Linked DNA regions of Sus scrofa. The protein of the gene in region 1 interacts with the protein of each later gene in a pairwise test. Links are inferred from orthologs where the notes say so. Each region holds a gene or a part of one and is shown on either strand. Other genes may lie near its edges.

What was found. The genes of interacting proteins can lie anywhere in the genome.
Region 2: the proteins of TMEM79 (region 1) and CLEC7A interact in binary tests that used the Homo sapiens proteins (3 or more experiments, as listed by UniProt). The two-hybrid records come from large-scale screens. The link is inferred for Sus scrofa from reciprocal best matches to the Homo sapiens genes TMEM79 and CLEC7A.

Annotation. Positions count from the first base shown.
Region 1 is NC_010446.5:93,766,039-93,770,070, forward strand, and holds the start of TMEM79 (transmembrane protein 79), read right to left. Parts: upstream 2,803-4,032; 5' UTR 2,475-2,802; intron 1,425-2,474; 5' UTR 1,382-1,424; coding exon 622-1,381; intron 368-621; coding exon 154-367; intron 1-153.
Region 2 is NC_010447.5:61,831,711-61,835,830, forward strand, and holds the start of CLEC7A (C-type lectin domain family 7 member A), read left to right. Parts: upstream 1-1,316; coding exon 1,317-1,419; intron 1,420-3,607; coding exon of another isoform or gene 3,608-3,706; intron 3,707-4,120.

The DNA of each region.
Region 1 (4,032 bases):
CGAGGGAGAAAGTGGATTCACCTTTCCCACAAGCACATCTAGGCCGATCCAGAATCCAGAAAGCTCCCTGGGCCTGGACCTCCAGACATTCAGAGGCCTGGGTCCCTCTAGCCCCACTACCTCCCTGGTCCCGCACCCCCAGCCCCAACTCACCGGGAGATGGCAAAGAGACCAGTGAGCAGAGGGAGCAGTTTGAGGGTGTCCTGGGGCAGGTAGGTGGAAAGCACCGCCAGGTTGAAGAAGTAAAGGATGAAGAGCTGGACCGACTGGGCCACATATCGCCGGTGGATCTCCACCTCCCGCCGTGGCTCCCCAAAGGGCCGCAGGGCAGAAAAGCACAACAGGCTCAGCCCGTACACCAGGATCCCTGGGTGGGGTTAGAGAACACAGGGTCAGAAGAGGAGCAGCAGGCAGGAAGCTGGAGGCAGGGTCCATAGTGGAGAGCTCAGGGGCATGGGCTCTACACTGTGGGGCAGAGGTGGGCACACAGGGTAGCGGGGGGGCCCCCCCGAGGGTCCAGGTCTCACAAGGGGAAACTCTCCTGCTCTCCAAGCCAGGAAGGCCCTGCCCTCCAGTCCAGCTCCCAGATGCCCCCTCCCTTTTCACAGGACCCAGGCTCACCCAGAACAATGGGGAAGGTGGCAAAGACCCCGCAGCGCAGCGTGTAGACGAGGCGGGAACTCATGGTCGGCAGGCGCGGGGCGTCGAAGGGCAGGAAGGCATACGCCCCGTAGAGCAGGCAGGGGAAGAGGATGAAAGCAGCTCCTACGGAGGCCACAGCCCTGAGCCCCTCATGGCCTCCGCAGCCCTCGCAGCCCCCACAGGAGCGGCCAGGCGGCCTCACCACTGCCTCAGCCCACTTGCGCTCAGGGGGCTCAGCGGGGGCGGCCCGGGTGGGCAGGAAGGTCCGGCGGCGTTCGCCCTCGCTCGCCTCACAGCGCACAGCAAGGTCCTCCTGTGGCCGCCGCTCAATGCACTGCAAGTCGATGGGCACGAAGGCTCGGGCCGCCTTCTCAGGCAGCAGGCAAGCGTCATCTTCGGGCAACTCCTCCAGCTTGGTGGCTGGCTCTGACTCGAGGGGCTCAGGCTCAATGTCTCTCCAGCCTGGGGGATCTGGGAACGGGGCACTGGGCTGGGGGCCAGCCCCCCAGGGCAAGGTGGCAGCCTCACTTACTGTGCTATCTAGCCCATCCTCAGTCCCCTGTCCGGCTGTGGGAGACCCAGCTGAAGACCCCACTCTGGAGGACTCGGCTCTGGGAGACTCAGCTCCACCCTCCCCCTCTGTCTTCTCGCCATTGGGGACCAAGGCCTGGGGTGGGCTTTTCTCCAGGGCTGCAGGCCCCTTCACCTCCAGCAGGGCCATGGCCTCGGGTTCCGTCATCCTGGGGCCTCACTTCTGGGGTCTACCGTAAGGTCGTGTCACCCTGGAAGGAGCAGAGGGAAGCTCTGTCAGAAGCTGCTGCTCTTGGAGTTCCTGTAGTGGCTCAGTGGAAATGAATCCAACTAGTAACCATGAGGTTTCGAGTTCAATCCCCGACCTTGCTCAGTGGGTTAAGAATCTGGCGTTGCCACGAGCTGTGGTATAGGTTGCAGACGTGGCTTGGATCTGGCCTTGCTGTGGCTGTGCCATAGGCCAGCAGCTATAGCTCCGATTCCACCCCCAGCCTGGGAACCTCCACATGCCCCGTGTGCGGACCTAAAATAAAAAGGCCAAAAAAAAAAAAAAAAAAAAAAAAAAAGCTGCTGTTTTCTGGGTTGATAGAACCGAAGCTCAGCTGGTCTTACGGTGGGCTTTAGCCCCATCTGGGACCTTAGGGAGAACATGGTCCTTGTGTTGAAATAGAGTGAGGCAGGAGGGAAGTGAGCAGCTGAAATGGAGACACCCTTTCGACATCAAATGCTATTCACCAGGAGAGGGTGAGTCAGGGGGCACAGGCCCTGGCAGCTGTGGCCTCGCCTCCACCCACATCTCCTGCCCCTCTCCACCAAAACCCCTGGGGTCATGGCCACCCAAATGCAGGAATGAGAGGAAAAGGAGGTGTCTAGAAATTTGCCAAGGGCTTTCTTCTTGCTAAAGACCTTCTCGTGGACAGAGAAGCTTCCCTTTCACTTCCAAACCTTGCCTTCCCCTGAAGACCCCGGACTGGAACTCTCCTGGCAACTTATACCAACGATTTGCCAACAAATCTGTCCCAAGGAGCTGGCAGTAGCAGGGGACCCTGTTCTTTCGTCTCCAATCTGGATACTTGGTCGGTTTTCAAACTTCTCACCAACCCACTCCACATCTGAAGGGCCTGGGTCTGTCCATTTTGACCTCTAGGTCTAATCAAAGCTGTTTCCCATGCCTCCTCTCCTGTCTTTCTCCCCTCCCTGCCGTCCTCCATCTCACTGCTTCTGGATGAGGCTAACTTCCCTCCCTTCACTGCTCAAGGACCTCCGATCCCTTAATGTTTGGACCCGTGACACCCACTTACTTTCCATCTGGAGAGAGGTAGAGGGTCCCCAGCGTCCGGGAAGGAGCTGCCTAGCTCGCTGCTGGCTCTGCAAGTATTTCTCTCCGTCTCCCTCCCTTTACCTGGGTCTCCAAACCTGTCTGACCAGAGCAGGTGGGGCCCAGATTAAAGGGCAGGCCCCGCCCTGCTGAATCTGCCGACAGAAAAAGCCTTAGAGAAGGACGTCATGCTCTCTGAAAGTGGGGGTGCAGCTGAGCCTAGAGGTAAGTGTGTTCTAGGAACATGGGTTTTGTAGGAACTCCCAGCACAGGAAAGCAAAGGGGGAAGAATGGGTTTGTGCATCAGAAGGTGCTTGGGGAGTTCCTGTCATGGCTCAGTGGTTAATGAACCCTACTAGTATCCATGAGGATGCAGGTTCGATCCCTGGCCTTGCTCAGTGGGTTAAGGATCTGGCATTGCTGTGAGCAGTGGTGTAGGTCACAGACGCAGCTCGGATCCTGCTTTGCTGTGGCTGTGGTGTAGGATGACAGCTACAGCTCCAATTGGACCCTGGCCTGGGAACCTCCATATGCTGCGGTGTGGCCCTAAAAAGACAAAAGACCAAAAAAAAAAAAAGGATGTTGGAGTAGGTTGGAAAACACCCAAAAGAGAGGTGGAATTTCTACACTTATTCATTCAATATTTATTGAGCACCTGTTATTAGTTAGGCACTATTCTGGGCATAGACATAGGAAAGAACGAGATGACAGGCAAAGTCTCTGGACTTAAGGGGCTTGTTCTGTTGGGGTAGCAGATAATAAAGAAGCCTAGAAAATAAATCAATAAGACAATTTCAATAGGAAAATTTCTTTGCCAAAGTGATATTTGAGTTGAGACCTGCTGGGAATCAGGAGAATGGGTGTTTCAGGCAGAGGAACAACAAGTGAAAGGCCAATAAAAAGGAAAGACAGGTTGTTTCAGGAACATCTCCCTAAGCACCTTGCTTTTTAGGTTAGGTTTAAGGTTACAAAAACCGTGGCACAGTGGTTTAAGAACGTGACTGCAGTGGTTCTGGTCACATAGATCACAGCCATGGCTTGGATTGAATCTGTAGCCTGGAAACTTCCTTATGCTGAGAGTGTGGCCATTAAAAAAAAGACAGCAATAGGAATCCACAGTGATCTTTCCTATGGGAGGACCAGGGGGCAGAAATGTAAGGGTGTAACTTCTCATTCCTGTGGATCTTTTCCCCTTAAGTCATTAGAGCTTCGTAAGGGGAGGGACAATGTCTGAATTGCTCATCTCTGTGACTCCAAAATCCAGCACTGTGGCTGGAAGACAGCAGATGTTCAATAAATGTTTACTGGAACAGTAAGTGAGGAACATGCAAGTGGAAATCTTTGGGTTGGGGTCGGAAGCTGAAGGGCTGAGGTGTCTGTGTAAGAGTCTTATCTTGGAAGGCCTTGTCATACTCGGTTCTTTCCAAAAAAAATTTCACATACAAGTTTTTTGCTTGTTTAAATAATGGGGGAAAAGAGAGAATTAGAATCACTGTAACTAGTAACCTGAAAGAGGCTCGACTCAAATGGGGGCGACAGAA
Region 2 (4,120 bases), on another chromosome or scaffold:
GAGGAAACATCAAGTATTTAATATAATATTCAGTCCCAGAATTCTCTATAAGCTGTTACTTGCCATGTAAGCGTATGGAATGGTAGCATAACAGAAGAGGTCATGGGTTTAGCAGTAAGAGTAGACTTTGGTTTCATTCCTTGCAATATTTTTAGTAGTTTCTTAAAATTGAGCAAGTGGATAAAATTTCTATGTCTCATTTTTGTCATTTGAAAATAGGACTAAACAACAAGGTCCTACACTATGACACAGGGAACTATATTCAATGTTTTGTGGGAATTCCTGTGGTGGCACAGCAGAAATGAATCTGACCAATATCCATGAGGATGCAGGTTTGATCCCTGGCCTTGCTCAGTGGTCTGGGATCCAGCTTTGCCATGAGCTATGATGCAGGTCACAGACGTGGCTCAGATTTTGTGTTGCTGTGGCCGTGGGGGAGGCTGGCAGGTGTAGCTCCAATTTGACCCCAGCATGGGAACTTCTATATACCCATGGGTGCGTATAAATCTTGTATAAATAATAATGGAAAATTATATGAAAAATAATACATAGGACTAAAAGAAATAGGACCAGTAGTGTCTAGCTCACAGACTTGTTGGAAAACTGAGATTGTATGAGAGAACATGTAGATGGGTAGTACTTAGCTCATAGTCATTGTTGAATAAATAATGTACTACTTTGTATTATCAACCCTGACAAATCCCAAAGAGATGTGTTACAGTGTACCTTCTAATGGCATCCTTCCTATAGCTACTGTCTCTGGGTTCTTCTGTTAGTCAGTGAGATTCTTCACAGGTAATCATTTTGTTCTTCTAATCCCAGCTCTGGCCAGATGAAAAGATGGATATTTGCTAAGTGTTTACTAGAAGCGTGAGTACATGAGTAAATGAATGAATGTATAGGTCTAGCAAAGTATTGGTGAATTCAAGGTATCAAAATTATTTTAAGTTTACCTAGGCCAAGTCAACTGATGATGTCCAATTCAGTTGTGAGACTGATGAAAGCAGCCCAAGACATGAATGGTGTCATTTGTCTTACATTTGGCCTGAAACAAAGATCTATCTCGTGTGCTACCTTTTCATTTTTTATGTGACATCAGTCTCAGAAACAGGATCTGAAGGTACCAATGGGAAGTTACCACAGCCTAGTTTTCATTTCCTGCTTTTGGGTAGCTGGTCGGACTACTTGTTAATGCTTAGTAAACCAATCCCACATGATTTGACTCCTAGATCCTCTTTTGTCTAGAGGCACTTGTCTTAGGAGAAGAGAGGGATGAGCTCGCAAATGCTGTGTCAGTTTAGAAACTCACTTGAACCATGGAATACCAGTCTCCTTTAGAAAATGTGGATGAAGATGGATACACTCAGTTAGACTTCAGCTCTCACAACCTCACCAGGAGATCTGTGGTCTCCGAGAAAGGTATTTTTTTTTCTTTCTGATTTCAACATTGTCAATCTCATCAACTGAAATTGGAAGTGGAAAAGAGAGGCGAGACGTGATTTGTTGGGCTTTTATTACTATATGTTGATTTTCAGAAATCGCTGAAGATTCTTTGAATGTGCACGAAGCCTTTTCTCTCAGCAACCATTCAGTGACCAATCATTAGTACAGTTGACCCTTGAGCAACAGGGGTTTGAACTGCACAGGTCCACTTATATATGGAGGTTTTTTAATCATAAATACTACAGTGCTACACCATCTGAAGTTGACTGAATCTGTGGAAGCTGAATGTAGATATGGAGAACGTCAAATACTGAGGGTCCACCATAAGTTATAGAGGAATTTTTTCGACTGTGGGAGGGTAGATGCCCTTAACCCCAGTGATGTTCAAGTGTCAAATTTATTTAAGTTAATTATTATGATGATGAAAAATACCTACAATTTCTCTATTCTCTAGAGATGGGCACTTCCAAAGTAAGAAGTTGTACTAAGTGAGGTGAAATGCAAAGATGAAAGAATTTTGACAGGAGTGACCTACTTGATAGAAATGAGTAAATTGTAGCATGGGATTTAAGGAAAGGTAAAGCAGGGATTCCTGTCGTGGCTCAGCAGAAACAGATCTGACTAGCACCCATGAGGACGCAGGTTCGATCCCTGGCCTTGTTCACTGGGTTAAAGATCAGGTGTTGTCGTGAGCTGTGGTGTAGGTCACGGATGATGCTCAGATCTGGCGTGGCTATGGCTGTGGTGTGGGCTAGTGGCTACAGCTCCCATTTGACCCCCAACCTGGAAACCTCCATATGCCTCGGGTGTGGCCCTAAAAAAGACAAAAATAAAAAAGAAAGGCAAAGCAGTGGATATGAACAACATCAAGATACTGGAGATCAGGAGAAGAATGAAAAGATGGAAAAAACAACTTGTGATTTTGTGGAAAAGGCCAAAGAAGTCAGAAGTCTTAGGGCTTAGAAGCCCAAATCTGAATTTTTTGTATGTGTGATAATGAGGTTGATTTGATATTCTTTTTTTTTATTTTTTGTAAAGGGAGTTTTTGTATGTCAGTGAAGAAATATATGTGTTAGATAAAAATATCCCATTATCAGGACACGAGTCTTAAACCAAATGTAAAAGAAGTGAAACCTGGACAAGGGCATTGGTCTCTTTAGGAGTTCCCTTTGTGGCTTAGCGTTAACAAACCTGACTAGGATCCACGAGGATGCGGGTTTGATCCCTGGCTTCGCTCAGTGGGTTAAGGATCCGGCGTTGCCCTAAGCTGTGGTGTAGGTCACAGAGGCAGCTCAGATCCTACGTTTCTGTGGCTGTGGTGTAGGCCGGCAGAGACCTCTCTCTTCATTGAATGAGCCATTTAATCTCCCCTGTAATTCTCCTATTTGAAAATTCTCTGAAATGCTCTTAATGCCTATTCTCAATCTTGGTGTAGGGGTATTAATAGAAAATGAATTTCTTGTTATCAAGGGAGAGTTTATTCACAGGTTTTGACGTCAGAATTTGCTCCCTTCTGCTTTCTGCTCATTCATATTGCACAATTATTTTCCTCTCATCGCTTGTGCAATTCTTTCCTTGGGCAACCTGTTGGGGGAGAGTGGAAAAACTATGCAAAAGATAGGGAGGTATGTGTGTGTTTACATGTATGTGTGGTTAAACGGTGGGTTATCTAGACTGTGCTAGTAGTCTAGGTGCCTTTATGTGTGTTAACTTATTTAATTTTCATAATAACATTTTGATGTATTAGTACCCTCACTTTTCACAAAGAGAATTGAAAAAAAACAAAAACAAAAACCAGAGGGCATAATTTTCCCAAGAGCATGCAACAAATAAGAGAAAGGGGAAGATTACTCTTAGAAACCAGTGCTATTTCTGCTCCATGAAGCTGTCTCAAGAAGGAGTATGCTTTCAGGAATCCTGATAGTGTAAGACATATAAACATCAATGTGGAGCTGAAATTTAGAGTGCACAAATACCAAGGCACTGCACTCAAGTTACAGTTTCAGAAACATGAAGAGGTATTGCTAAAAGGGGAGAAAAATTCAGATTATTCCAGATGAGTAGATATTTCGGGGATCAGATTTTGATGAACTAGAGAACTGAAATGTTCCATGATCCATTATCCAGTTACTTTACTCAATTTCTGCTCTCTTTGGCTCCTCAGGACCTTGTGCTGCATCCCCTTATTGGCGACCCATTACTGTGACTTTGGGAATTTTATGCTTGTTAATGTTGGTGATAGCTGTGGTCCTGGGTACCATGGGTGAGTACTGGAGGAGATGAGCAATGGCAGATATTTAATTAAAAATGTGTAATGATCTAGGCACTCTTTTAAGAGTGTAACATAATCTTATTTAATCTGCATATTGACCTTATTGAATTAGTGCTATTAGTTCTTATTTTAGTCCTGGCATCATAAACCAGTTAATGGTAGGAACGTGATTGGATGTTTAGGCAGTATGTCTAAAAAACTCATACTTTTAACTGCAGTGATCTACTACCTTCTTGAATAGCTGGTTTCAAAGCTGTGGAATTCCTAGGGTAAATGAATGAGAGGAAACCAGCGGAGGTGAAGAAGGAAGTACAATTAGTGCTTATCTTCCTAATGAAATAAATTCTTTAAAAAGACTATAAGACATTTTTATATCTCATGATTTAAAGAAAGTGTTTTGTACCT